Linked DNA regions of Notamacropus eugenii. The protein of the gene in region 1 purifies or fractionates together with the protein of each later gene. This does not show direct contact. Links are inferred from orthologs where the notes say so. Each region holds a gene or a part of one and is shown on either strand. Other genes may lie near its edges. The genes, in order: MEPCE, CCNT1, small nuclear ribonucleoprotein-associated protein N and LSM3.

Region 1 (7,106 bases):
AGCTCTATTCTGATACTTCATCAAAATGTGGAGTTGACCTAAGCTGATGAAGGTTATGTCAGTAGAGTATTAGCTTTGGCAGATTTTATTGAGCAGGAAAAGTTTTGAGTTGTGGTCCCTTCAGCGGACTGAATTTGTTGTATAAGTTAAACATGGTGGGGTTCTAAAATTTTGAGGTCATGGATATTCTATACTACAAAATGGAATGTCAGATTTCATTTTCTCTCTCTCCTCCATTTACCTTTGGACACATTTCATAAGTGGCTACCTACACTTTCAGAGAAACTACCACCTACTCAGTTAAAACCTGGAGAGGAAACACATTCAAGACAGCAAGGAAATAAAGGTTATAGGGCAGAAAACTGATAACAGACTCTAGTAAATCTATCTACTGGGAATGTATTAGGACTTGGTCTTGACTGCCCAAGGAAGCTCCAAAATATGACCAGTCTTCAATTTTTAAATTTTCTATTTAATTAATTTTATTTATTTTTTATTTAAATCTTTTAAAATTTATTTTTAAAAATCTTTTCAATTTAATTTAATTTTTAAAATACTGAACTTAACAAACACCAAATAAAATGAACATTTTGAGCTTACAGAGAACTTCCCTCAGATTGGAAAAACCTTCTTTATTTGGAATCCTGCCTCAGACCCTAGCTGTGTGAGCCACCTAATCTCTCTGGGTTTCAGTTTTCTCAGCCATAAAATTAGGGACTTATATTCCATGACTTCCAGCTCTAAATCTTACGATCCTATGACCATGAACACAACAAGGAGGATGGTACATGAAATTATAAATCTCTATTACAAACGTTTTTTTAAAAATATATAATAAATTCAACATGTAATCTTCAAAACTGTCCTACTTGTCAGTGTTTTCTCCTTCTAGCTTTCTTTCTATTCTTTTCTATTTCAATGACATTTTTCTTTTTGACAAACTAACACTATTTCCACACACCGACAGAAAAACAGTAAAACCCTTATAACACATACATACCAATTTGCAAAACAAATTCCTACATTGACCCTATCTTAAATGTCTAATTCTGTTCATTTACACCATATACATGGTATGTATATACCATGGTTCAGTTCTGTATATATCATATACATGTATGTCTTGTATAAACATAGTTATTTGCACGCTGACTCTCCAAGTAGAATGTATGCTCCTTGACATCAGGGGCTGTTTTTGCTTTTTTTTTCATTCCCAGAGCTTAACACAATGTCTAGTACTCAATAAATGTTTGTTGCCAATTGACTATGACGCAAAATGCTAACCAAGCCTTTTCTCAGTTAATTATGCCTTAAAATCCATTGACATCTCTCCAAATATTGCTTCAAAGGTTTTCCTTCCACTCTCCTTTCCTTAGTGTCACTGCAGCTTTCAAATCAGCAACTGATACTATCCTCACCTCTATATGTATATATGTAAATACATACATAGGTGTTTTTACACGTGTTTGCCTATATTATACGTACATATATACAATCCCCAAAATCTTAGTATAATTTTAAGCTTTAAGGACTAGTATAATACACATCCCTATATATATGTGTGTATACATATGCATATGTGTATATAGATATATGTGGGTGATAATATCTCACATATACATACCTCACCTACCTCCCAGGGCTGTAAGGCTGAGACATTTGCAAAGGGCTCTATAAATACACTATTACTGTCCGAATGCTAGTCAACAGCGTATATATAGCTAGGGTGGACAAAGGTGTTCGACTTGGAGTCAGAAAAATGGAGTTCAAACCCCCCTGAGCCGTTTACCAGCTTGGTCTTCGTCCCTCCTCCGTCAAACTAGGGTAATAAAGCTCTCGTCCTCCCACGGACGTGGCGAGCGGCAAAGCAGGCAGCCTACGTCAAGCGCTCTGCCGCCCGCAAATGCCAGGCTGGCCATCGGGAGGCTGACTTCCTTCGCAGATCCCAGATGCATTTTCCGTCACCCCACGCCCTGCAGCGCCGCCCACGAAGCGCTCCCAGGGTTCGAGGACGGAAAAATCGAATACAAACGCCCCTTTCCTCGCTCGAGATCCAAGTGCAGACGAGCTCTCCCCTCCCCCCTCCCGCCTGGGGTTGGCCGGACTCCTTCCCCACCAGCCTTCAGATCCTGACAGGCCTTTCTTAGGATCAATCATCCCTTCCCGCGAAGTGCTTTGGGGGGGCAGGGGCAGGGCTAAGGGGTGCCTTCGGTCCACCTCCAAATGCTCGGGCGGTCACCGGAGGCGCGCTAAGGCCTCCGTAACAGCCGGGGCTTCAGCTGCTGGCGCCCGGGGCGGGGAGAGAGGGAGGGAAGCCAGGGCTCGCGCCAGGCGTCAGGAACCGGGGGAGCTAAGGTTGGGACTGGGGAAGGAACAAACAACAGGTGGCAACAGCCGGCGAGCTCGCGGTCCCCCACCTCCGTCCGCCTGTCCCACCAAAGAAGAGCCCGGCCGCTCGGGCGCCAGCCCAGTTCTCCGGCGTTCGAACTTCTACCTCACTGAGCACGCGCGGAGACTAGACGGCAAAGGCGAAGCGTTTAAAGCGGAGAGGCGGAAGAGCCTTCGGGAGGCGCATGCCAAGTCTTCCACCCCGGGCGATTACAAAAACTACAATTCCCGGCATACCCCATTCTGCCGTAGTCACAACTTTTAGTTATTAGGAGCAGCGCCTGATTATAATTGGGAGGGTTCTTTTGACATTATGGCTTGTTCTCTGCCCCGGAATGGATAATGTTTTTTTTCCTTTTCCGAATCCTGATTCTAATTCTGTTGCACTTTATCTTTATTTTCCAACGAATTACTGGCCATTAGCCCCTCTCCGGTACCCCTCCCTCTTCGCAGCCCAAGGACCCTTCCCTAAACCCGCCCCCCCGCGAGCTCCTATTGGCCAGTCGATGGGAGGTTACGTTAATCGGGGGCGGTCCAAACAGCTCATTTTCCAATGTGAAGAGGCGCCGAGGCCACGTTCCTTCACGGCAAAGAATCTGCTAAGTGGTGATGGTTACTTTTGATTGGATTGAGGCAAATTAGAGTGGGGGGAGTAGGGAGAAGGGAGACTGTGCGCGCAGGTGCAGTCGGGGTGGCGACGGTGGGCGGGAAAGAATAGAGAGTATCGCGATACCTCCCACCCCTTCCGGCCTTTTTAATTTGGCTAGGAGGCAGGGAAACGGAATAGAGTGAAGAAACCGAGTCGTTCCATTTTAGGGAAAGTCTAAGGCAATCTTTTGGCTATTTCAGCAGAGCTCAGTTTCCTTTCTTTTCTTAGCCGCTTTTCTCTGCCAGGAGAACGTGTGAGAGTTAAGGTGACATCTTGGCACCAATTTTATTCTAGTGACAACAGGTCTTTCGTAGGGATATAGGCCTTTGCACTCCAAACCCCTCCACCATCCATCTCATATTTCCACTTTCCCTTTCCCGCACTCCTAGTGTGTGTGCGTGTGAAGTAATTCATTATTATTAATTTACTGCGCCCCTACCCACTTCTAGGATGCAGCTATGTTCCTCTCTTGGCTGAGGAGGGAAGTCTGTTTAAAGGGATAAGAAACCGACTTTGCAGTCCCGAGCGGTGGGTGAGTGGTAGCTCCCAGCACGTGCAGCGCCAAGAAGCGCGAGACTGATAGGGCGAGTGCGCAGGCGTGGCCCTTTCGAGGAGGAAAGAGGCGGGGTAGAAAGGCAGCAGGGCTAGCAGCCAGGCGGAGGCCGCAGACGTTCAGTCCCAGGAGCCGGGACGGGGTGGAAGGAAGCTCTTCCCATCGGCCCTACGCCGACGGTTGGTGGGCGTGCGCGAAGGATACGGGTGGGAGGGAGATCGTTGCGAAGGAAACGGGGTGTCACTTGGAAGCGGTGGTTCCCTTTTTTAAAAGCCTTTAGCCGTTAAGTTTGTTCTGTCCCTGGTGCGGGCACAACAGGGGGCGTGGGGTGGAGTGCGCACGCGCAGTGTGTCTGGTAGCGCGCGTTAGGAGGGGTGGAGGAAAAAGCGCAGGCTCCGTTGTTTTCTTACTCAGTTCGGGTCTCGCGGGCAGCTTGTTTTGGTCTCGCGCGGGTTAGTGGAGACGCGAGAGAATAAGGGAAGAGCGGGGTTACGCGCGCACTGGGAGAAGGGGCGGGGAGGAAGAGGGGAAAAGGGAGGGGGTGTAGGCCCCCTGATCTCCCTCGTTAGCCTAATCGGGGGAGGGGGGAAGAGATGATCGAGATGGCAGCTGAGAAGGAGCCGTTCCTCGTGCCGGCCCCGCCGCCGCCACCCCTCAAAGCTGATTCCAGCGGTGGCGGTGGCACTCTGGTGCAGCCACACCGAGAGGCCTCCTCCGGGGAGCTTTGTGGCGGGACAGCACAGGGACCAAGCCCACATACGCCCACCATATCAGGCAGGGAGGGCTTTCTGGCCCCGTCCCCCGCTAGGGCTGGCCAGAATCCGCGGCGAAGTGGAGATCCGATGGCGCAGGGGGAGGCCCCTCCCCCTGACATGGAGGAGGAGCGAAGGGGTTGGGGCGGGGCCGAAGTAGGGACCCCAGCACCCCCCAGACAGCGCAATGGCTTCCAGCCCCATAGGCCTCCCGGGACCGGTGGGAACAAGAGGAGGAATAGCTGTAATGTGGGTGGCTTCAAGCATCCAGCCTTCAAGAGGCGTAGGCGAGTTAACTCGGACTGCGACCCGGTCTTGCCTTCCAATTTTCTCTTGGGGGGCAATATCTTCGATCCTTTGAATCTGAATAGCCTCTTGGATGAGGAGGTGAGTCGAGCACTCAATGCTGAGACTCCCAAGTCTTCCCCACTGCCAGCGAAGGGGAGGGACCCTGTGGAAATCCTCATTCCCAAGGACATCACCGACCCACTCAGCCTCAATACCTGCACTGATGAGGCCCAAGTGGTTCGAGCCTCACCACTCAAGACTGGTAGAAAGAGACATCGACATCGTGGACAGCACCACCAGCAACAGACTGGGGGACCGGGGGGGAGTGATCCCACCTCCTCTGCGCTTCCCCCAACTTCCACAACTCCCTCGCTGCATGGAGAAACCACCCCCCAGCAGCTGCAACAACGACAGAGGTCCCAAGGCCGGGATGGCCCCCAGCCTTATGAACTGAACACTGCCATCAACTGTAGGGATGAAGTAGTGTCCCCCCTTCTGCCTGCCCCACAGGACCCCCCAGGCACTCGTGCAGCTCCTTCAGCTGCCTCAACCACACCTGCTCCCTTGTCTTCCTCCCGACATCACCGGAAACGCCGTAGGACTTCCAGCAAGTCTGAGTCAGGTGCCAGGGCTAGTGGCCAGGGCCCTAAGGAGAAAGTCCGGGCGAGAGGCGGGAGTCGCCATCATGACCACCCTCTGCCTGCGGCTGGCTTCAAGAAGCAGCAAAGTAAGTTCCAGTACGGAAATTATTGCAAGTACTACGGCTATCGAAACCCAAATTGTGAGGATGGGAGGCTTCGGGTGATGAGGCCTGAATGGTTCCAGGGCCGTGATGTGCTGGACCTAGGCTGCAATGTGGGCCACCTGACGCTAAGCATTGCTTGCAAGTGGGGCCCGGCTCGAGTAGTGGGTGTAGACATCGATGCCCGGCTCATACACTCTGCTCGACAGAACATCCGACATTATCTATCTGAGGAACTTCGTCTTGCACCTCAACCACCTGAAGGAGCCCAAGGACCAGAGGGTGGAAAGGGGACTGCTGCCACCCGAAAGAAGAGCTGCTTCCCAGCCTCCCTGACTGCCAGTCGGGGCCCCATTGCTGCACCCCAAGTGCCTCTGGATGGGGCTGATGCCTCCATATTTCCCAACAATGTTGTCTTCATCACGGTAAGGAGACCTAGTAGCTGTTGGAGTAAGGGATATTTTTGCAGACTTGTTTACTGTGCCATGACAGGGGAGGGAGGAGAGGTAGTTATGGCTAAGAGCAAAACTATTCTTGCAACTTGGGAACTCACATTTGAAAATGGTCTAGGGCCTGTGCTGATAGGGCCTTGACTTCTCACCTTAATGACTATACCCTGTCTTCCCCATGAATTCAGGGTTCTTGCTTATAGGGCAGTGAGAATGGGATTCCTTTTCCCTGTTACACCCTTTAACTGAGTCTGCTCAACAGACTAGGATTATTCCATTGAGCATTTTAAACCTGCAAAAACTTGACCTTAGAGCTGTCCCAAGAACCATTCTTAGGTGATAGGTATCTGAACTAATGCTTCTTCTGTGTTATCCAGGTTAGATAGACCAGAGAATTCATTGTGCTTTTCCACTGTAGACCTCTGTCTCAACAACCCTTATCTTCATGAGAAAGCTAGAATCCTGCCTGCAGTCAAATTTTCTCCTTTAATGTATTAGTTTGAGTGTTATTGGTTAGAAAACTCGAGTGGATTACCCAGGAGTAAAACAAAAAGGTGTAGGGAAATATTTTAGGGACTTACAGATTTAGCCCTGGAAAGAACTTGTGAGGTCCAAAGGTCCCCTTAGATTAGTCCAACCCTTCCATTTTACAGATGAAATCAAGTGCCCAGAGTAGTTAAGTGCCTTGCACATGGTCACAGGTAGTAAGTATAGTAACTGAACCTTCCAGGTCAAGACCTTCTGTAGAGTAGGGTAAAGGGAACTGACAAGTTTGTGGGGGAGTTTTGCTGTCTTGCTTAGGCTTTGGGGACTGGGATTTTTTTAAATTTTCATTTGGTCTCAACATTTAAGTGCGTAGTTTCTGCCTGGCACCAGGGACATAAAAACAAATTGAACAGTCCTTGAACTCACAAAGCTTATATTCTGCTGAGTTGTGTTAAAATTTAACACTGAAGAAAACTCACTTGAAACTCAAGACTGGGGGGCAGGGAGCAGGGGGGGAGGGGAAAAAGTGGGAAGGATGACAGAGAATGGGGAAAGACTGGAGGGGCTGCCCAAGACCTCATGGGGCAATGCTTTTTTGCCCCAGGGAAAATTGGTGTGGGAGGGAGACAAGTACTGGAACTGGGTCAAGGCTGAACACTAGGGCTTTCTCCCTGTGGTGACCTTGCACATCCCTCTTGATAAAACTAATCAGTTCTGGTGGTTTGTCCATGGTACAGCCTTCTCCCTACTAATTCTTACCTTGTGCTTTCTCTGCTCTGCCAGAGTGAGGCAGAGTGAT
Region 2 (6,999 bases), on another chromosome or scaffold:
AATTACATAATACATTATATTTATACTATAAATAATATATTATAGTATAAATATATAACAAATTATAATATATAATTTATATATAAGAATATATATATGCACATATATATATAAAAGATAAATAATAAGATCAGGTACAGTAAGTACCAATTGTTTACACTTCTACATCAAAGGAGATATTTATAAAGCACTTAGCAAGTGCCTGGCACACAGTCCATGCTTAATAAATGCCTGTTTCTGTTCCCTCCTCCATCCTTTGTTAAAACCATACTTACATTCCGATGGAACTGTGTAAAAGACTGGACCATGTAGAATCGGTGCATGTACACAATAGCAGTGTTGATGGTCAGTTGGGAGCTAAGAGATCTAAGTTAAGTGAAAATGAAGACAGGCACAGACCCAAGTTCCTACAAACACAACAACCTTTTGCCTTTCTCAAAGACCATAAAGTATGAAAATAATTTCTTCTGAATGAAAATATAATCTATCAATGAAATCACAGGTCCTGGGTACACATGAAAGATTAGGTTAGGATTATACAATGTGTTCCTGGGGGAAAAATAAAACAAAGAAAAACTGCTCTAAAGACCTATAAAAGCATAGCATCAAACGTGATATATTTATGAAATGCTGGGATAGTAAAGCACTCCTGACTCTTTTCATGCCATCTTAAGAATCCCCTTTCTGGCCCCTGTTTTCTCTTTTCAAAAATGAAGGGGCTGAACTTTTATGTGATCAATAAGATTCTTGCAAGCTATAAACCAATAACCCTATGACTTACAGGTCTTTCCAATGTCTACTGGCAAACTAAAAGTATTTCTTTAAATTTTTTATTTCAGTTAATTGTAGTTATATTACACTGCAAGCTTGAGGTGAGAAAGACCTTATACTTTTTTCCTATCATTCAAAAGGCCTAGCAAGATTCTGTGTACACGGTAAAATTCAAATATCTGTTCAATGAAGTAGCAGATAAGATTTTTTATTCTTAGTTAGTCAGTCTTGGCTTTTTTAACAACAGGTAAGCCACTTAGTCTCTTGGTGTCCCCAGCACCTCTATGATCATCAACCTCACTTTCTCCTTCAGAGTCATCTGGGCCTAGTGGCATGACACAGATCAGAAAGACTGGAGAAGGCCCTGGATGCAAGTTAGAGATGTTGACCTTTTTTCTTTAGAACTACAGATTCCAGCCAAACAATCAAGAACCTCATATGCACAATGCAGAAGGAACTGTTGATCTTTGTCTCTGACAAACACACAGATAATAACTGTTACTAGCAACTTCATTGCTGAATATAATATATATCACCATGCTTTAAACAACTTAGAATCTAGTCTTTTATGTGTATCAAAATAGAGATTCACAGTACTGGAATCACATCTTCACCTCCTCTAATTCTCTATAACCTTTATTTTGTGGGTTCCATTCATCTGACTATTTTGATATATTCCCCTACAAGGGAGAAAATTTTTCAAACTGAAATGTCTAATATCCTAAACAATAAGTTTTTAAGGAGTTTATAACTTTTTTGCACCAACAAAGATATCTTGATCCAGAACAAAGGAATGCTCCCAATGAAACAATTGTTAATGTAGATAACTAAAAAAAATTTCTGTATCAAGTCAAGCAGCAGTTGTTGATGTATTTACCTCCGCTAAAATTACATCTTGGAGCACAAAGAACTTAAAGTTATGTAGTTCAACCTTATAACAGAAGCACAAATTCCCCTACTAGATAGCAAACTCCCAGGCTCTTTGTTTTGTGTATCCGTTTTTCCCACCTACCGGAGGTTGAATTTGAAATCAGGTCTCTGACTCCAAGATCAAACTCTTTATTTGCTTTAACGGAAAATAAAGATTTTTTTTTTCATCCAGACCCCCTAGAAATCTATCTCAGGTTAAGAACTTCTATCCTAGACCATCCAGTTCAAATCTATCAGTACCAGTAGACTGAAAGGAATTCAGTATAGGTAATATTGTTTTAATCCACCCTCAGGGTCCTTGTATAAGCTATAGTATTAATAAAAAAACAACAACAACAAAAACCTTTAAAGCCAACAAACATTTTCTAAAATGTTAGTCCAGATTTGGTCTTGAGTTTAAATGAAGATCATCACCAACTCAGTTATGTGACCATTTCTACTACTGGAAGTGTAGGCACAATGACAAAACTAGAAAAGGTTAATTCAGGAAACCCCAGTGTTTCTTAGTCAGGTCACTACCTAAAGCACTTGGAGGTTAAATTCCAGTAAACCACTGTAAGCAATTCCTGCTTAACAATTCCACAACCCATCCGAGTCTCCATTCTCCCTGCCTCACCCTTCGACACGTCTTCAACAAAAGGTAGAAAGCAGGTGAAGCTTTGGAAACACTTCTCTTAGCCCCTTTGGGATAGAAGCAGGCCAGTTCTCCAAGGCTGAGTACGGGAAGGCCGTACAAAGTTAAAAAAAAAAAAAAAGCTGTCAGGAAAAAGGCTAACACTGGGCCGAGAAAGGACACTGAGTCCGGGAACTGCACTCACTGCGCTGAGAGTAGATGCCGGTGGCCGTGAAGCGGGAAATGACTCCACTTCACCTCCCCCCACGGAAACAGTGTCCTAATCCTGCCCATGCCGACAGCCTGGGCCCACTCAGCGGTCCCAGAGCCCCGAAAAGAAAGAGACGCTAGGCCCCGCTCCCAGTCTCCCAGTTCCTCAGTCCCTGACCGAATCCAGAACCCGAGGCCCAGCGGAGCGATCCCGAGGCTAGGCCGCGGCGCGGCGAGAAGGATACACGTTGAGACGCTGCCCCATATCCTGAAGGAGATTGGCTGCTTGCTGCCGGCAATAGAGTTCTTTGTCCGGGTCGATGCCGGCGCGACGGGACGGGCTCTTTTCCAACTGTTCCCGGGTGAAGTACCAGCGCTTGGCCGAAGCTCCCTCCATAGTGCTTCACCCAGGCGGTGGCGGCGGCAGCAGCGGCAAGCACGTCCCGGCGTCAACTGCGCAGCGACGTACATCCGCTGGGAGACGTCCGAGCGCGCGATGACGCACATCCGATTCCGTGGCCCGGGGGGGCCCCCCCTCAAGGAGGCAGGGGCGGAGCTAGAGGCGGGTACTTCCGCCGAACTCCTCCCCTCGACCTCGGACCAGGGCGATAACCTCACGTGGATTGGCTGGTTCCAGGGCGCAGGTCTGCGGGAGGTGGTGTTTAGCGGTGGGTTGTTAGGAGATCCCGCCCCAAGTCCGGGTCTCCGCGCGAGAAAGAATTTGGGGAGGAGCGACGGTTGTGGCGCGTTCGCGCCTTCCCGGGGGGGGGGGGGGGGGGGGGGGGAGAAGGGTGGAGTTTTTCTCGCTGGGAATGAGGCGGATGTGGGAGGGAGGGAGCGAGCAAGGGTCAGGATTAGCTTGATGATTGTTAATTGTTTGTAATGGTTTTCCACTACGAGTTAACTGCGAGCCGGGGAACCTGAGGACTCTGGAGGATGACACGTTGGGGGCCCCGCCCTTTCCTGAGGGTTTTCGCACGAGGGGGCCTTAAGGGACCTGGAAGCGACGTCCTTTAGAAAAAGGGCGGTGGGTCAGCACCTTCTGGGTTGTAGAATTGAAACCTAGAAAGGGCTTTAGGAATCCAACTCTTCTTCGTGAAGGTCACTCGGGTCATCCACATAGTGGAATCGGGATTCGAACCCAGTGGTCTCGGGCTCGTGTCACCCACGCGGCCCACGCATGGATGCGGCAGAGGAGGAAAGAGTGGCCGAGCTAGTAGGGTCATGTTTTAAAATGTGAATTTTAGTAATGACAGTACAAACCTTGAGAGAGTGATGCCGGGATTTGGGGTAGGGTGTATTCCCTCCTAACAGAGCTGGGGCAGAGGACAAGGTGATGAACAGTGTTGAATGCTGCTTTTTATAAATACAGGTTTATAATAAGAAATGGCATTCTTCTTAATCTAGAGGTATTTATTTTCTGATGTCAAATGGAATGTGTCATTATGCTTTTGGAGGGATCCGTGGTGCAGCTCACCAGATTGGCCCAAGGTTGTCAAATGCCTTGTTTGCAAATCTGTCATTTAAAGTGGTTTAAGAATAGAATCTAGTAGGGACTTGAATGATCGCCTTTAGCCACAGGCCCAGGAAAGCAAAATGACGTATTTGAGAAGGAAAAAAATCAGGTGGGGTGTGCTGGAGCCAACCAGAACCAGAGTTGATTGTTAAAATTTCAGTGTATTTACACCTTAAGACATTGGAAAACTATAAATGGGATCTCATTGTTTTGTTAATTGTCTAAACATAAGAAAGTGATGGCAGAAATGTAGAATAAATGTGCAAGTATCATTTCATTTTTTCCCCTAGAAAGCCCTGTGATTGAACATTTATGCTTCCTCACATTATCCTATGCAGTTTTCAGGCACAATCAGAAATACTGAAACAGGGGCTTTAAGTCAAGGGTTTCTGTTCCCTTCATCTCCATTCTATTCAGAAAGTTATTGTTGCTGTTAAGTAGTGCCCAACTCTTTGTGAGCCTATTTGGTCTTCTTGGCGACCTGTACAGCAATACAGGGAGTGGAGATGGAATGTCATATCAGGTAAAGCAAGGCTAGTTTGGCTTGCAGAATGAATGAAAAAGATTTACTAAGTTTCCTATGTGCCAAGCACTGTGTAAGCACTGAGAATACAAATGGAAAGTCAAGGCAGTTCTGCTCTCAAGGAGCTCATTCTCTAATCAGATGAGGCATAATATGGGAGTCAACTTTAAGGCAAGTGGAAAGGTCCAGAAGTGCTAAGGATAAAATGAATGGGCAGATGGCAATGTCCAGGAATATTTAAGGTACGTTGACAAGTCATAAAGAAGTTTTAGGAGGGGAAGGGGAGCTAGGATTTGTCCTCCATCTTACTGGAAAGATTCTAACAGTTCATTTGCTATGATCACATCCACTGTGCAGGTCAGGGGGCCTCAATGGTTCTGGACTACTACCTACCACTGGGAATAGATAAGGGGTTAAGTGAAACTGGGATTCTGGATTCCCTCCAGCAGTGATGGAGATAGAGCTAGCTGGTGGTCAATCTTTAGCCAAAAAGGGTGACAGGGAAGGGAATGCCCTGTAGTACATGATCTGAAGGTCTGTAAATGTCAAACAGGATATTGCATTTGATCATAAAGGTAATGGAAACCCACTGGAGCTTACTGAGCTGGCCAGGGAGAGGGGGCAGCAAGGGAAGGGGGATTGACATGGCCTGACTAATGTTTTAGGAATATTACTTTGGAAGTTGTGTAGAGAATAGATTGGAAAAATGGATTGAAAAAAATAGAAATTTGAGGAAAGGGAGAGATTGGGAGAGTAAAAAGTAGGCTATTACAAATAGGTGAGAGCCTGAACTAGAGTAGCAACCACGTGAGTGGAGAAGGGAATGTCCACAAGAAATGTAATAGAAGAATCAGCAAGACTTGGGAACTGAATGAATATGGGAGGGTAGGTGATGGAAGGTAAGGAGTTGAAGATCAATCAGTAGATCAGCAAATTCTGGACCAGGCTAAGTAAGAGGTAGCAGGTTGCAAATCTGGGTAAAAATGAGAATAGTGGTACCCTTGACAGAAATAAGGAAATTAGGAAGAGGGTTGGGTTTTAGGGGAAAGTTAATGAGTTTTGAGATGCAAATGGGGCAGCCATTTAGAAATATCCAATAAAAGCAGTTGCTGATATGGGACTGAAGTTCAAGAGCAAGAAATACAGATCTGAGAATTCATTGTCTGCAGAGAGATAATATTGAACCCATGGAAACTGATGAGATCACTGAGAGAGAAAGTTGTGTAGAAAGAAAAAATGAGGGCCCAAAATAGAGCCTTAGGGTAACTCATTTGGGGGTCAGAAGCAACCAGACAAGTAGGAGAACCAACAGACAATGCCCTGGAAATCTAGAAAGTAGCTCCTGCATTATCAGTACTGATGAGAGGTCCAAGATGAGGATTTAGAAGAAGCCCTTTTATTTGGCATGTTTATATTTGTGTGTAGGTATGTAACCTCTTTTGAACTAAACTGTGAGCTGTTTGAGGACACCACCACCCAGTGCCCATAGCATACAGTAGCCTATCTACAAGAAATGTTTGTTGAATGAGAAAGCTGAAGGACTGAATAGTAATAATAGTAAGTGGCTTTTTATAACTTTTATAACTCTTACTTAGTACTTTTCTAACAACTGCCTTTGTAGGTAGTAATGAAAGTATCATTACCACCATTTTACCAGTGATAAAAACTGAGGTTCAGGGAAGTTGAGACTTGCACAAGATAACTCAGCTAACAAGAGTCTCACCACCTTTAGGATGATTGTGCCCAGTTCTCCCAGCTGAGGATATCTGAATTTTCTGGTCCTTGGAGTTTTTAATGGGTAAAAGTGTCCAAAGTAACACAACAGGGATCTGCCTGTGTTGGCACCTTTGCCCTAAGCCATGCCACAGAGCTGACCTTATATACCTGTTGGATTTTTCTCTTTACTTTCCATTCTAGCCAAGTCAATCTGTTTTTCCAGCACAGACTTGCTAATTCCTGTTTACCTTTAAAGGCACATTCCTCCTCTGTGGATACGTGCCACCTCTTCTTTACCACTGGTGTCCACAGCCTCCTTTAAAATCCAACTCAAAACATGAGATATATAACATAAATATAAGAAGTCTTCCTAGATTCTATACTCCACTTGCATTACTGCACTTTTGTCATTCTGTACTTGTTGACATATTAATTGATAATTGCTCCCAAGTTATATATGTATATTTGCCACATTAGGATTATAAACTCCCAGGAGACAGAAAATAGAACTTCTAATTCTTTTATATCTTTCTCAAAGTGTCAGTGTAAAGTTCTTCACTTAATGGATACTCAGATTCTTATTTAACTAATCATGGGGGAAGAATTGAATTTACTGAAGAGTTTTTAAGAGGAAATGATTTTTAGATTAAGAAGAAATGACATGAAAATTGAATATAAAGTTATTAATAATAATAACTTCTAATAATAATGCTTCCTTGG
Region 3 (7,545 bases), on another chromosome or scaffold:
GTGAGGCCAGGGCCTAGCATTCCTTTGTGCAAAACCATCCACAGCCTTCTCCCTCCCTTTTATGAACTGAATTGGCAAATTTGCATGAAATTTGTGGTCCCTAAGTCATTCTGTAAAACTGGTGAGAGAAGTTTTCTCCCAGTAGCTGCCTCCAGTGATCTTTCTCTTCTCTTAAGTGCTTTTGTATGTATTTTAATTAGCAAATAGGTACGCAGGTAACAAGCATTTATTAAACTTCTTATTATGTGCCAAGTACTGTGGCAAATATAAGTAAAAAATAAAGAGTTCCTGATCCCAAAGGGCTTACATTCTTATAGGTGAAAATAGTATGTAAAAGAAAATGAAAAGGCGGAGGAGAAAAAGTTTCAGGCCATGGTGAAGTCCTTAGAATCACAAGCAGTGCCAATCAATCAATCAATAAACATTTATTAAGCACCTATGTGCCAGGTACTGTGTTAAGATCTAGTAATATAAAAAAGGGGTAAAAATCAATCTCTACTATCAAGAAATTTACAAACTAATGGAAAAGCAAAGCATGGTCATCCTGGGCCATCTTTGAAGCAATGATCCCAGATGGCACTCATCAAGGGGAGAAGCAGGTCATGGGGCCTGCATGGTGGACAGATATTCTTGGCATAAGGTCCCAAAGTGGGCAATATTATCCTCTAGAGGGCACTGGAACGATGGGGGGGGGGGGTGTTTACAGGGGGTGGTAGTATCTTCCGGTGCAATTGGGGAGCATTGAAAAAAATAAGGGTTAATCTAACCTAATGGGGGGGGATGAGTAATTTTTTTTTTAAGTGAGTCATAGGCCAAATAGGTTTGGGAATCTCTGTGAGAAGACCCCAGGAAACCAGAGAACTTCCAAAGTGAGAAGACAAATGAGGCATAGAAGCAAAGTATATAATTAATTAAATAAATTCCTTTAATTAGCAAGTAGCACTTCATATTTCTGCACAACCACACTAGTTGTAAAAGACTTTTCTAAACTATTATATTCATAATTAGAGGTTAAACCACTGGTGAGCAATTTGGAACTATGCTACCAAAACTTCTCAACTTATTGACTCAATGATAACAAAATTTGGCCTATACCCCAAAGATCAAAAAGGACCTAAAAAAAACCCATAGTAGCTCTTTTTCTGGTGGCAAGGAACTTGATACTGAAGGAGTGGCCATTAACTGGGAATGGCAAAACAAATTATGGGTTGAATGTAGCAGAGTACTATTAAGAGTAAGAAATGCTAAAAAAGATGATTTCACAGAAATCTGGGAAGACTAGTATGAACTACTATTATTTAGTGAAGTGAACAGAACCAGAAGAACAAATTATGTAATGATAAAAAACATTGCAAAGATAAACTATTTTGAAAAGCTTAAGGACTCTGATCATGGAAGCAATTAGACATTTAAATACTTACTATGTGCTAGGAACTATACTAAGAGATTTACAGATATTATTTCATTTAATCCTTACAACAAGGGAGGTAGGTGTGGTTATCACCATTTTGAAGCTGGGGACACTGGGGCTGACGGAGGTTAAAAGATTTTCCTGAGATCATACAACTAATAAATATGGAAGTCTAGATTGGAACTGAGGTGTCTCCTGACTCCAATCCACGATTCCACCTAGCTGCCTCAATATTTGATTATCACAGTGATAACCATGATCACAATTCCAAAGTATTGTGACATCTGCTGTCATATGGGAAGTTTCAGGGGCAAGTCAGATGGAAAGGTCCCATGGTCCTTAGGGTGTAACAGCAAAGCAAATTATAATGCCTCTTCTTTCATGGAATTTCCATTGATAAAATCTTATCTGTTTCTGATGTTGAACCATTTGATATTGCCAAGGACTTTGGTAGCAAGGACTTTTCTTTCTGGGTCTTTAGTATTTGTGTCTAGGCTACATAGAGGTTGTTTCCCAGGCTATGGGCAATGACTTGGAAACACTGCTAGTTGCAAAGCTCTTGGACTCAGGATTCTGGGCTGTCTATGTCAAGGTCTGAAGGGAGACATAGATTAAGGTGGCAGTGGTAGTTTGACTTGTTTGGCGTATTCTACCTCCTGTCTCTCCCTTGGGGTGCTAGGTTGGCTCACTTTATCTATGGGGAGAGAAGGAGTCACAGGAGCTTTGAGGAGGGCTGAAAAGGTTTGGAAAAGCTGCTGTGGGATAGTGAATAAATTAAAAAGATATAAAATCATAAAATGTCAAAATGTCAAAAAACGAGATTTGTTTGTTGCAGTGAGGGCCCGGTTGGATTTTGATGGTCTTAAGTCTCAACCTCCTAGGAAAGTATAACAGCAGTTATAGATCCCAAATATTACTTTAAATCTTTCTGTCAATGTAAGCTTGTGAGTCTTGTGTATGTTAAGCATTTCTTTCATACAGAGGAAAAAAATACCTATTTATCCCTGATTTATACTGTACATTGGGTACCTTTCTATTTACTCTACACTTTGGAAGACATGAGCCAAACCTAAGATATATATAATTTTCCCTGGAGTGCCAATGTGGGGACCTAAGGAGTGAAAGAATGAGAAAAGAAAAGTTCAGCCTTTCTTTTAGTTGGTTAGGCTTGCTCAGGATTGAAAATGGGCTGCATAAGCCTGGGTCTAGAACTTAGAGGAGAGGAAGGTGAAGTGCTCCAGTTCGTCTTGGGACTTGAAGCACCGCAAATTGTTAGACATGATTTTCCTAAAAACAGCTTGCAGATTTACAACTTTTATAACAAGCATTAAACTGCTTTCTTGTGCCTTTACGTCCAATGCAAGGATTATATCTTATTTCTTTTGGGTGCTTTGGCACATATATGATTTCTGACAAATACTTGATTAGTCATTCAGTTAAACATTTCTTAAACATTAAGTCAAGCCCCTGGGCTAGGCAATGTGGAAAGAAGGACAAAAATAAGAGTCTCTGCCCTCCAGGAGCTTATATTCTTTACCATACATAGATAAGTAAATGCAATTACATTGAGGAGAGAGTACTGACAACTGGGGACATAAGGGAAGGTTTCACAGAGGAGATGGCAACTGAGCTGAGCCTAAAGTAGGTAGGAATTTGAGAGGGCACCCATGTAGAAGGGATACCTTCATAGATATAATGGGAGGCACTCATGGAGATAGTACATTTCAGTGTTTGGGGACCACTTGTTCATATGGAGCCCTAGGCCAGAGATAGAATGTTTAGTTCAGAGAACACTTAGCAGTCCTGTCTGTCAATCACAAAAAAATGTGTGAAGGAAGAATATAGTGAAACAAAGTTAGGAAGGTTGGTATCAAACTACATCCAAAGAGCTATAGAACTGTGCATACCCTTTGACCCAGAAATATCACTACTAAGTTTGTATCCCAAAGAGCTCAAAGAAAAAAGAAAAAGGACATATCTATATCTATGTATCTATATCTACATGTATATCTATATCCACATACACACAGATATTTATGGCAGCTATTTTAGTGGTGGTGAAGAAATTGGAAATTGATGGTTGCCCATCAATTGGGGAATGAATGCGTAAGTTGAGGTATATGATTGTGATGGAATCCTATTGTGGTAGAAGAAATGAAGAGGAGAAAGCCTTCAGAAAAACCTGGGAAGATTTACATGAACTGGTACAAAGTGAAGCTAGCAGAACTGGAAGAAAATTATACACACAATACTATAACAGCAATACTATATGCTGTTTGACTATGAATGACTTGGCCATTCCAATGAACTCAAAGATCCAAAACAATTCTGAAGGACTTATGATGAAAAATGATATTGACCTCCAGAGGGAGAACTGATGAAATTTGAATACAGATGGAAGCATAATTTTTTAAAACATTTTATGGGTTTTTTTGCTTTTTTTGAAAAGTAGCTTAAAAGGAAATATGTTTCACATTATTTAATATGTGTAATTGCTATCACATAATCTGGCTTCTCAGTGGTTGGGAAAGGGGCAGGAGAGACCTTATTCAGAATTTAAAATTTTAAAAATGTTAAAACTAAATATTAATTTTTAAAAATAGACTATTTTTTAAAGATTGGGGCTCAGATTAAGAGGGGCCTTAAATGAAAAGTTGAGGAGTCTCTATTAAACATTAGGGGGGATAAGAGAATATTGCAGATTTGGGAGTCAGGGAAGAGACAGGCTCAGAACTGTGCCTTGAGATGATTGTGGCAGCTCTGTGAAAGATAATAGTGATAATCAAGGAAACCTTTCCTGATTCCCTTTTATTTGTAGTGCCGTCCCTCTGAGATTCTCTCCAATTTATCCCGTATATAGATTTCTGGCAACCACATAGACTTGGAGGCATCTTCACAATAGAGTGACAGTTCCAAAATCAATATCACCCAGCAATAAACATTTATTAAGTGCTTCCTATGGGTAAGGCACTGCTCTAAGAGTTGGTGATACAAAAAACAAGAAAAAGGAACGAGAGAGTTCCCTTCTTCGGTCCTTCGTAGACAGGGGGCTGGCCGCTGCTGGAGAGCTCCCACAAGAGCTCTCCACTTCGGGAAGCCTCTAGTTCTGGAACGTTCCCAAGAAGCCTTTCTGCTCTGGGGAAAGGGCGCCTGCCCTCACCCAATATGGCGGCTGAGGGAAACAAGGTCGGTCACGTGTCCTCCCCGTTCCAAGGGCTATAGTCTTTTTCGAATTTCCGTTACAGCCGGAAGCTAGGGGGCGGGCACTTTCCTCTGGAGCTCCTCGTGTTTGCGGCCGCCGAAGGGGGCTCCTTTTTCTAAGTCGGGGCACTTCGTAGCCGGCATCATGGTAAGCTTGGGATCTCTGGAAAAACTAGGCCTGGGCTGGGACACAGGCCTGGACGAGTCGGGGACGGGGCCGGGGATCGCGGGGATGGTGAGGACGCTGCCGAAGGCGGGGCCGAGCGACCGGAGGGGTCAGAGGTCAGGGTCCTGCCGGCGGCGGGGGGTGGGTTGGCCGGTTTTCCGTGGTTGAAGTGGCCGAGGTGAAGTCAGACCACACAGATTTATGAAGTCCTTATTCTGTGCTCCGTCTGGCGCTAAACGCTGGAGGTACAAAGAAAGGCAGAAGACGGACCCTGCTCCGCAGGAGCTCACCGTGTGATGGGGGAGACCATAAGCGAGCCGCCGTGTGCGTGCGAGCTCTGTGCAGGCTAAGTGGGAGGTGATCACCGGGGAAGGACTAGCGCTGAGGTCCTTGCAGAAGGGACTTGAAGAAAGCCAGGAAAACTAAAAAAAGATCAGGAGGGAATGAAGGAAGGGCCAGCGAAAATGCCCAGAACAGGGAAATGGGGCGTCTTGTTGAGAAATGGCCAGGGGCGGGGGGGGGGGGCTTAAGGTGAAGAATTTTAAAAGTCTGAGGGCTTTTTATTTGATCCTGGAGGTAACAAGGAACCCCTGGAGTTTACTGGGGGAGGGGCATGCGGGGAGTGGTCAGACCCGCCCTTTAGGAGGCTGACCCGCCAGAAGGCAGCTGGGGGTCAGAGGAGAGAAGGTGGTATAAACCAGAGATGTGGGATACTACTAAGGGGGTCTGAGGTTTGGGGGAGGGTGTGGGGAGGATGACAAGATCATAGAACTGGGTCAGAGATGATGGATCCATTCCTAGGGATTAAGAGCCCAGAGTGTGTTTGTGTGGTGTCAGAATCATATAATTGGGGGAGGTGTAGGCTAGGATGTTTGGGAAAAGATAAAGGGTCAAGACCTCACAGTGGAGAGGAAGCACTGCGGATCTTGGTTCAGAAGAGAAGAGAGAGAGCTGATGGAAAAGGAACAGGGGTAGAAAGAGCGCCTGGCAGTGTTTAGTCAGTCCAGGGTCTGGAGTCAATACTTTTCTCTCTCTGTTTCCACAGACGGTGGGCAAGAGCAGCAAGATGCTGCAGCACATCGACTACAGGATGAGGTGCATCCTGCAGGATGGCCGCATTTTCATCGGCACCTTCAAGGCCTTTGACAAGCACATGAACCTGATCCTGTGTGACTGTGACGAGTTCAGGAAGATCAAGTGAGGAGGGGGATGGTTTGGGAAGCTTGGGATGTGAAGAGGGGAGGGCAGGTAAAGTAGGCTTCTTATACTTACATTCATAAAACTCTTCTCTGTTCTAGTCCTGAACACCATCCCTCTCCCACCCACTGCACTCCAACCTTAGTGGATTTTGAGGAAACATTTATGCCCAGACATATTGTACACTTAGATGTGTACCAGCACACATCACCTGGAAATGATAAAAGGAAGCACAATACAGTGGGAAGAGCTTTGGTCTTGGGATAGATGATAGCTAAATAAAGTATTTATTAAGTTCTTAATATACCAGGTACTGTGCAAGGGAGTCAGGAAATCTAGGTGCTAGATTTCTGCAGGCATATAGCTCTGAGCACCTAGCTCTGTATAAACTGCAACTTTTTGTAGGCATTTATTTCTAGGCCAAGTTTCCCTGTCTATAAAATGAGGACAATAGAGTAAATCAGGCCTTCACAACCTTCAGCCCTTGGGACAGAGCCCATGGGCAACTTGAGGCATGCCAAAGGATTTCCTCTACATACAACAGTTGTTTTTCTCTACGTTTTTCACCGGCTGCTGGAAATCCTTTGTCAGACCAAAGGTTATGCAGGCCTGGACTAGATGATCTTTAAAGTCCTTTCTGACATTAACATTCACAATCCTTCCCCTCATAGAATTTGATCTAGTAATTCTAATGTTCCATCCATGTTCTTTTTTCATTGTTCTAACTCAGGCCCTCTTTGGTTCTGTGGTTCCTAGGAAGTGTGTGTTTTGGAGAGAATACTTAGTTATCTAGAAAGGGGCCCTTCTACTTATTATTTGTTAAACCCGTAGTTTCTGAGTTCCAGATCTTTATTCCCAGCAAACAATGACATTGAATGAAATATGTTCATGTCTTTCTTTTAATATATATTGTTTGATTTTTTTCATTAAGTTCATTTCCAAATATGGTCATTCACCCTTCCGTTCCTCCAGGAACCTTCGTTTGTTACAAAGTATAAAAAGAAACGGGAAAAAAATGTCAGTTCAGCAAAATTACCCAAAGCATAATGAGTTGTTCTTATTTAGTGAGTGAAATGCTTTGAGGTAAATTTACTTCAACTTAGCAAACATTTATGAAGCCTCAGTACTATAAGATCAACAAAAATAGCATCTTATATAATATATATATTTTTCTGTGAGCTTCTCGGTCAGAGGGCTGTGATTCTATGAGGTCATCTTGGGGTGAAGGCTTCTTACACTATAAGGCTTTTAAAGGGGGAGTTGATTTTCACATTTAATAAACGTTAACTGTGTTCTCTGTGTAAGTCACTGTGCTTTGAATTCCAACAAATATAATGATGAATAAAGACTTGGATCCTGTCCCCAGGGAGCTTATAGCCCAATAGGCGGAATGTCAGTTATTCAAACATCTATAATACAATATTTAGAATGTAATTTATGCTAAAAGAGGTATGGAGTACAATTTGAGTGTTTATTAAGATCCTTGTTATCTGAAGTTCTGCTCTGACTCTATATAACGCTGGATTTTAAATTATATCTACTGGTGACTGGCTATGTGACCTTAGACTAG
Region 4 (7,482 bases), on another chromosome or scaffold:
TCTTCTTGGCTCTGACTCCTGCCTTCTTTGATGCACCGCCTCGGGGACCCCCAGGGTCACTGCTCTTCTTTTTCCTTTTCCCACTAGCGACTCGGGGGACACGAGTGTTCTTTGGCTTCTGATCTTCAAAGACAGCTGTTTGAGGGAGGAAGGAGAAGGCAAGGGCGCGTGGGGGCGGGGAGGGATTGGTAAGGACAGTCAAACTGCTGCCCTAAATTGTTTCCTTGTCTCTAACCTTTCCCCAGCCCATCACGGTATTTCCACAGCCACAGGGACCCACCTTGTGCACAAGCATTAGACTCCTCGAGGACAGGGACTATCATTTGCCTCTTTTTGCACAGAGCTTAGCACATAGTAGGTGCTCTTAATGTTTATTGATCAATTGAAAAAAACAAGCTGATGCTCATTTCCCTGACATAGGACTGATGACCAAATGTACCAATATTGCTTAGAAGTGCTCAGCACACAGTGCCTGGCACCTAATGGGTGCTCTGTAAACCCGTATTCCCTTCTCTTCATTATCTTCACTCCTTAAACAATCCCCTCCTCCAAACTCCCCTTTTTGTACTGAAGAAGCTGTTTTATTCATCCAAGTTTTCAACACCTGTCCATGCCCCCCCATCAGCCAATCAGTTGTCAAGTCTTGTGAATTCTACTTCCACATCTGTCACATTCATATTTTTTCCATCCTAGTTTGAGGTCTCATCACCTCTCACCGGATTACTTCGGAACTGTTCTCCCTGACCCTACCATCTTTCCTCTCTAATCTATTCTCCATGGGGTTGCCAAATAATTTTCCTAACAAATGGGTGTGACTAGGTCAGGAGAGACAGGTCTGACTCCCCTGCTCAAGAACCTGCAATGGCTCTCTATTGTCTCTAAGATAAAACACAAACTTTTCAGTTTGGCATTAAAACCCTTCACAGTCTGGCTCAAGATGTGCTCCGCATTGGCACCCTTGGGGCATTCTCGATGCCAGCCAAAGTGGCCCACCTGTTGTTCCCTGAACTCAAAATTCTCCCTCTCCCTATCTCGCCTCCTGTAATCTCTCCCTGAGACTCCCCCGGCTTCCTTTGGGTGTGCCTCCTAAGGAAAGCCCTTCCTGACTACTCTAAGCACTTCAGTTCTCCTTAAAGTCCTCGGGTTAGGTGGAGTTTATTTGGGCCAAAGGCACATATCCTTAGGGCAGGGGACTGACTCCCTTCTGTAGGCACACAGCAGATGCCTGCTGAACGAATATGTGTTAAATTAATAAGTTTGAGAAACAGCCTGGGAATGAGGATTTCTACTTCAGGATCTGGCCCTAAGCCACTGGACTAGGTTAGAGGTATTTCAGTCTTTCCATCCTGAAAATAAGGATGTTACCTCTTCCAAAGGTATCAATGACCTCTGAACCATTCTTTGAGTTAGCAAAAGTGACCCTGTGTATGTCATGTCTGCCTCGGGGCTGGAGATAGTCCTGAAAGTGCAGAAAAGCCGTAAGCCCCTCTGTTCTCAGTGATGGTTCCATGGACCAGAAGGACCCCTGACTACAACAGCTACATTGACAGTTGTAAGAAGAACATAAAATCTAGAGAAGAACTGGGAAGCAAACAGAGGCGCCCTGATATGAACAAGAAAATGAAAATGAAGACATTCCGGGGCTGTTGATTTGTGTCTTCTTACTGACAAAAAAAGCACTGCCCTTGTTTACACTTGAGGAGGATGTGGCTGGGATCCCGCTGGGAGCATCTGCTGCTTTTCTGACCGGGGACCAAACTTCTCTAACTGGCAGGACTCAGGGGAGATCTGATCACAGCTCTGAGGACCACTTCCGGTGACTTCTTCCTCAGTCAGACCACAACTCATTCAGAGGAGCCTGACTTAAGTGCTTGTATAGGCTAGGCCTTGGCCACTTCCTTTGTACCCTCAGTGATACAGTGTATTTCTTGTAAGCACTTTGTTTTGTTTTTTTAAAACTGAATTAGAACAGAAATCTAGCATTCTTCTAGAAGGGACAACAGGTCAAATCCTGGCTTGAACACATCCTTGCTCTGAGACAAGAGGCAAACCTACTTAACATCTCTAAACCTGTTTCCTTATTTATAGAATGCATATAAACATAAAATGTATATGCCAGGCTGAATTTCCTACCTCAGAGCTGTCACTATAGTTAGAATTTGTAAGTAAAAATCTCAAAATAAGTGGCACAATTTAAGCTTTGCAAATACTATGCAACATAAGCTTACTGGGGATTCTACATTCTTTGGGGTAATAGAAAATGAACCTGTCATGCTATGGGACAACTTTCCAGATAACTGGCATAGTGTGCCAGGGCTATAAAGGGCCTTAAGATTCATCCAGTTCAACCCTTTTTTTAAAACAAGTAATGACATCTTTCAATCCATACTTTCTACCACTGCAAGATTGATTTTTCTCATATAAAGATACGATCAGGCTGCTGTTCTGTCCCCAAATACTTCAATGACTCCCTATTATGTGCCAAAGTCCAGATTCCCTGGTCTAGTACTCAAGGTCCTGAAGGCTGTGGCACTACTCACTAACTATTCAGCTTTATTTCACAATACTCCTCTCTTCAAACTCTATGCCCCCACCCCCTGCCAAAATGGAGGACTACTCCCCCAATACATTGTTTTTGCTTTTTCCCAACTCTGGAGGTAACTTTTCTCAAACAGTTTCCTACATGTTATTGTCTCCCACCTCCAATCTCAATCTGCAAAAATGCTACATATCTTTCAAGACCTGCATCAAACTTTTCCAGCCTCTAAGAAAAACATTCCTTGATGATGCCTGTTGAAAACGAACTTTCCTTCTTTGGATGTGGCATTTGCTTATGTTTTATTTTGAATTACAATGAACAGAATCATGAATCTCAGAGACTGAAGAGCTGGAACCTCAGTCCAACCTGATCGCATTAGTGTGGAATTTCCCCCTAGCGGAATGTAAATTCCTTCAGGGCCATGACCTTCCCTTCTCTGGGGCTGAGGACACAGAGAACACCTCCTAACAAGTATTTGTGGAACTGAATGAACACTGAGGCTCAGCCATCCTTTAGTGCCTTAATCCAACAATCAGTCAATTGACAACCATTTATATTTAAATGTCAGCTTTGTGCCGGCTCAGGGGCCACAGAAGAAAATATGAAACTGCACCATCTCCTGCGTGAAGCATTTCTTGATCCTCCAAACTGCTGCTGCCCTCCCTCTCAAACAATCTCTTACTTAATAAATCTGGGCATAAATGGGGATGTATTCCTTAAATTTATCTTGACACTGTCCACATTTTTTATACGCACTTGTTGCCTTCTCCATTAGAAGGTACACTGTTCACTTGTAATGCCTGCCTCTAGAACAGGGTCCAGCTTAGTAAAAACCTGTCTGACTGACTTATAATAACGACGATAGCTAACACTTACATAAACACTTACATAATACATGTGTCAGGAACCATGTCACACATTTTTAAATTAATATCTCATTTGACTGATTATCACAACAAGGAGAGGGAGATGCTATTATTACTCCCCACTTTACAAGATAAGGAAACTGAGGCAAACAGCTTAAGTGACTTGCACAAGGTTACACAGCTAGTGTCAGGACTGGTTTGAACTCAATTTTCCTGACTCCAAGCCTAGCACTCTATCCACTGGGCCAAAGGAACTTACACTACACTCTTGGATAGATGAATGGATAAATGGATAGACAGACACAGACACAGATGAGACAGATGGACGGATGGAAGGATGGATGGATAAACGGATACACAGATGCAAATGGGACAGATAGATGGATGGATATGGAGATGGACAGATATTTAGGTGGATGATAAATATTTAAGTAGATGGAGAGATATTCTACTGGATGGGTGGATGAAAAGGACATAAAATGGATAAAGGAATAGCTATTGAGAGATGGTGGATGGAGTGTATATACATATACACAAAAAGAATGCAAAGTAACTTCAGGGAAGGTGGCTTCTGAGCTGTGCTTTGAAGGAAACTCGAGCACCTGAGGGACAGCAGAGATGTAGGGAGTGCATGCCAGGCCTGGGGGACAACCTAGGCAAAGGCTCGGAGGCGGGAGACGGAGCGTCACGTGGGCGGCTCAGCCAGAGTTCTCACCCCCGCCAGTCACACACCCCCCAGCCCGAGGAGACGCCAAGCCCACCGCCCCGCCCGGTCCCCCCACTCACCGGGCTCCGCTTCCTGGGTCCGGGCCTTCTTGGGGCGCCGCTGCTCCTCGCAGGACGCCCGCTTTCGGGCCATGCTGCACGGTCTAGCCCAGGAACAAGCCCGGGCAGCGGCTCAGGCGCGGGGCGGGGGCGGGGCACTAATCCTCCCCGGGCGGCTAAAGCCACGCCCCCTCTCCGACCTCCGCAGACAGACCCGAGGTGGAAGTGAAATCCACTAGGCGAGCGCAGGGAACCGCAAGGAGCAAAGCGTTCCTTACGTACTTCCGGTAACAGCAACCCTTTCTCTGCACGCCTCCCGGGCATTCGTCATCACGTTTGCTCTCGCTGATAGGCTGGCTGCCGCGAGAGCGTATACGTCATCTCGCGAGAAGCGGGAAAAGCAACCGGATTTGAAACATGGCGGACGATGCGGATCAGGTACGTTGCTGGAGAGCCTCCCTTTCCTCTGGGCTATTTCAGGATGCTTTTTGGAGCAGCCCTTTGCTCCTTCTTCCCGGATCCCGTCAAATCTTCCCTCCCCGCCAACCCTACCGAGAAATTCTGTAGTAACGGGGATTCTCTGAAAGTCTTGGGCTCCGAGTGGAGAAAGCCACGCCCTCCTCCGCTTTGTCACTGGCTGGCTGAGCTGTCTGTCACCTTCCGGCTAGCCAGCCGGAGTTTTCATTGGCTAGTCTTCTGGTCGTTGGCTGGACCGCCTCCTCCTGATTTACGGCTCAGCCAGCCAATGAGGGAGGACAAGTCTGTCCTGCCCTCCCTATCCCCGCCCCGAGTCCGCAGCCCTGGGAGGCTTGGCTTTAGCGTCCCAGAAGCCCCTTCCCCTGGCGTGCCCGCGGAGTCCCCCAGCCCACGCCGGTCCAGCCTGCCTCGGGTGGACAGGCTTTCTTGCTCCTTACCTCTCGTCTCCGTCTATTCCTTTGGAAAGCTTCCTTCTGCACGTTTGTAGTGACAAGGGTCTTGGGGGTGCTCGTTAATCATTATGCCCTTTGACCTCCCTCCTAACGATAAGAATAGCATGTGTGAGGGGTTTAGCGTGTGCAAAGCTGATTTTACAAGTGCTGTCTCATGTGATCCTCACAACAACCTGGGGGGGCGTTGTTATCCCCATTTGACCGCTGAGCCGACTCAGGCGGGCAGACGTGCAGTGACTTGCCCAGGGTCACACAGTGAGTGTCTTCCTCCCCAGCTCTTCCCTTCTCATCTGCAAGTCCCTTCCATTTTCAGCTTTAGTTGCCACTTGTCTCTGTATCTAAAGCCCAGCCAGATAAAGGGGACAAATACGTTTTCCCCATCCCACCACTCTTTTACAACCATCAGGCCCTCCGTTGCTGAAAATGTGACATTCTGCACAGCACCCTTAAACGTTTGCTATCTCTGAAGTGTTCTAGCCTGGCTGTGCTGCCTGCCCTGGGAGCCCTAAACAACCTTCAGGTGACAGTACTTTTGCCAGGCTGGCTTCTTGTAAAGAGGAGTTAAGGAATTCATTTTTAATGGAGTAACCTCTTGTAAGCTAGGTCAGGTGGAAACTGTAAGTGAAGAAATAATTGCCTTAGTGTCGGTTCTACAAAGAGCAGGTGGGTAATGTGCTGGAGCTCTTCTGGTGGGTGTGCATCATTGCAGTTTTTGTTTTTAACAGCAACAGACCACCAACACTGTGGAGGAGCCGCTGGATCTCATCAGGCTCAGTCTGGATGAGCGAATTTATGTAAAAATGAGAAATGACCGAGAACTACGAGGAAGATTGCATGTGAGTGAAGCGTTTCGAATCTGGGGCACACTGCAGATGGGGTTTGTGATTTCATCAGTAAAAAAAACTGAAAATGGGGGAACCCCCTCTATCAGTGCAACTCGGTGCCTTCTTTGCCAGCATCACAGAGATGTTAAGTCATTTGCTCGGGTCACAGTAGGTATGTGTGTCTGAGGGGGCACTTAAATCAGTTTCTGAGTCCAAGACCATCTGTCTACCATACTGACCTGTGTCTCAGTAGGCTTTGTAGTTTCCTCTAGAACATAGATCACATTAATGAGATCCACAGGAATTCTTTTCTATTTGACTTTGACACCACTGGTTTAAGGAACTGTGCTGAGGTTACAATATCGTGCCTGCCCCAGGGGGCATCCATTCTACTCGAAGGATCCAACATGTACATCAGTAATTATAAATAAGGTGTGAAGGGAGGCAGCGAGATCAGACCTTGGGTCTATTTTGTGTGGCCTGATGTGTGTGTCCCAAATTCTCTCCCTCATCTAACTGGGAGCAGAAGGGGCTTTTGCTTTTGTCTTTGCATCAGAAGTGTGTAGCACATAACAGGCACTTAAAAGATAATTAATTAGAAGTTAATTACAATATTCTAGAGTATTTGAGGAAGGAGAGAACCTTCGCATGTGAAGATGTCAGGAAACACTTCAGGGGGGGAAGGGATACCTGCTCTGAAAGAAGATGAGAGGTTTTGTTTGCCAATTGAGGGCCTGAGTTTGAATCCTGATTATACCTCTTATACTTGTGTGACTTAAGGCAAGACATTGGAACTTCTCTGGGCCCCATTTTTTTTGTCTATGAAGTGAGGACATTGTACAAGATGACCCCTAAGATTCTTTATGATTCTCAAGTCTTTAAGTTTACTAAGTAAGGAATCAGAAAGGTCAGTTGGTCAGTAAACATTTTTTAAGCACCCACTATGTGCCAGGCATTGTGCTAAGCTCTGGGGATACAAAAAGACCCATCCCTGACCTCAAGGAATTCAGAATCTAAATAGGGAGAAAACAAGCAGACCAGTATGTACAAACAAGCTATTTATACTGGATAAATAGGAAGTAAAAGAGGGAAGTTGCTGGGATTAAGAGGGCTTGGGAAAGGCTTACTGTAGAAGATGGGATTTTAGTTGGGACTTAAAGGATGCTAGAGAGGTCAGAAGGTGGAGCAGAGGAGGAATAGTATTCCAAGCTTGGTGGACAGCCAGGGAGAATGCCCAGAGATGGAGAGTCTTGTTTGTGGAATGTCCAGGAGGCCAGTGTCACAGGATTGAAGAGCACGTGGTGGGGAGTAAGTTGTAAGAAGACTGGAAAGGTGGGAGGGGGCTGATGATAAAGAACTTTGAATGCCAAACAGCATTTTCTATTTGGGGTTGGAGGTAATGGAGCTGTTGGAGTTTATTGAGTACGGGTGATGGTGATGTGGTTGGACCTGTAGGGGAGAGAGAAATAGTGAGGAGTCCAGAATGACTCCTAGGTTGTGAGCCTGGGTATGGGAAGGTAGAAGTGGGGAGGGTTCAGGGGGAAAGATAATGAATTCTG

Evidence for each region.
Region 2: the proteins of MEPCE (region 1) and CCNT1 purify together in Homo sapiens (affinity purification with mass spectrometry; 3 studies listed by BioGRID and IntAct, with this or other methods). This does not show direct contact. The link is inferred for Notamacropus eugenii from reciprocal best matches to the Homo sapiens genes MEPCE and CCNT1.
Region 3: the proteins of MEPCE (region 1) and small nuclear ribonucleoprotein-associated protein N purify together in Homo sapiens (affinity purification with mass spectrometry; 3 studies listed by BioGRID and IntAct, counting the BioPlex papers as one, with this or other methods). This does not show direct contact. The link is inferred for Notamacropus eugenii from reciprocal best matches to the Homo sapiens genes MEPCE and SNRPN.
Region 4: the proteins of MEPCE (region 1) and LSM3 purify together in Homo sapiens (affinity purification with mass spectrometry; 3 studies listed by BioGRID and IntAct, with this or other methods). This does not show direct contact. The link is inferred for Notamacropus eugenii from reciprocal best matches to the Homo sapiens genes MEPCE and LSM3.

Annotation. Positions count from the first base shown.
Region 1 is NC_092873.1:80,472,964-80,480,069, reverse strand, and holds the start of MEPCE (7SK snRNA methylphosphate capping enzyme), read left to right. Parts: upstream 1-4,087; 5' UTR 4,088-4,183; coding exon 4,184-5,797; intron 5,798-7,106. UniProt on the Homo sapiens protein: S-adenosyl-L-methionine-dependent methyltransferase that adds a methylphosphate cap at the 5'-end of 7SK snRNA (7SK RNA), leading to stabilize it.
Region 2 is NC_092874.1:220,497,926-220,504,924, forward strand, and holds the start of CCNT1 (cyclin-T1), read right to left. Parts: upstream 3,007-6,999; 5' UTR 2,922-3,006; coding exon 2,770-2,921; intron 358-2,769; coding exon 276-357; intron 1-275. Other genes in the region: SPMIP11 (sperm microtubule inner protein 11), read left to right, coding at 3,021-3,192. UniProt on the Homo sapiens protein: Regulatory subunit of the cyclin-dependent kinase pair (CDK9/cyclin-T1) complex, also called positive transcription elongation factor B (P-TEFb), which facilitates the transition from abortive to productive elongation by phosphorylating the CTD (C-terminal domain) of the large subunit of RNA polymerase II (RNA Pol II).
Region 3 is NC_092872.1:476,050,246-476,057,790, forward strand, and holds the start of small nuclear ribonucleoprotein-associated protein N, read left to right. Parts: upstream 1-4,543; 5' UTR 4,544-4,757; coding exon 4,758-4,760; intron 4,761-5,823; coding exon 5,824-5,975; intron 5,976-7,545.
Region 4 is NC_092874.1:429,469,193-429,476,674, forward strand, and holds the start of LSM3 (U6 snRNA-associated Sm-like protein LSm3), read left to right. Parts: upstream 1-4,462; 5' UTR 4,463-4,587; coding exon 4,588-4,608; intron 4,609-5,824; coding exon 5,825-5,935; intron 5,936-7,482. Other genes in the region: XPC (DNA repair protein complementing XP-C cells), read right to left, coding at 1-135, 4,192-4,264. UniProt on the Homo sapiens protein: Plays a role in pre-mRNA splicing as component of the U4/U6-U5 tri-snRNP complex that is involved in spliceosome assembly, and as component of the precatalytic spliceosome (spliceosome B complex).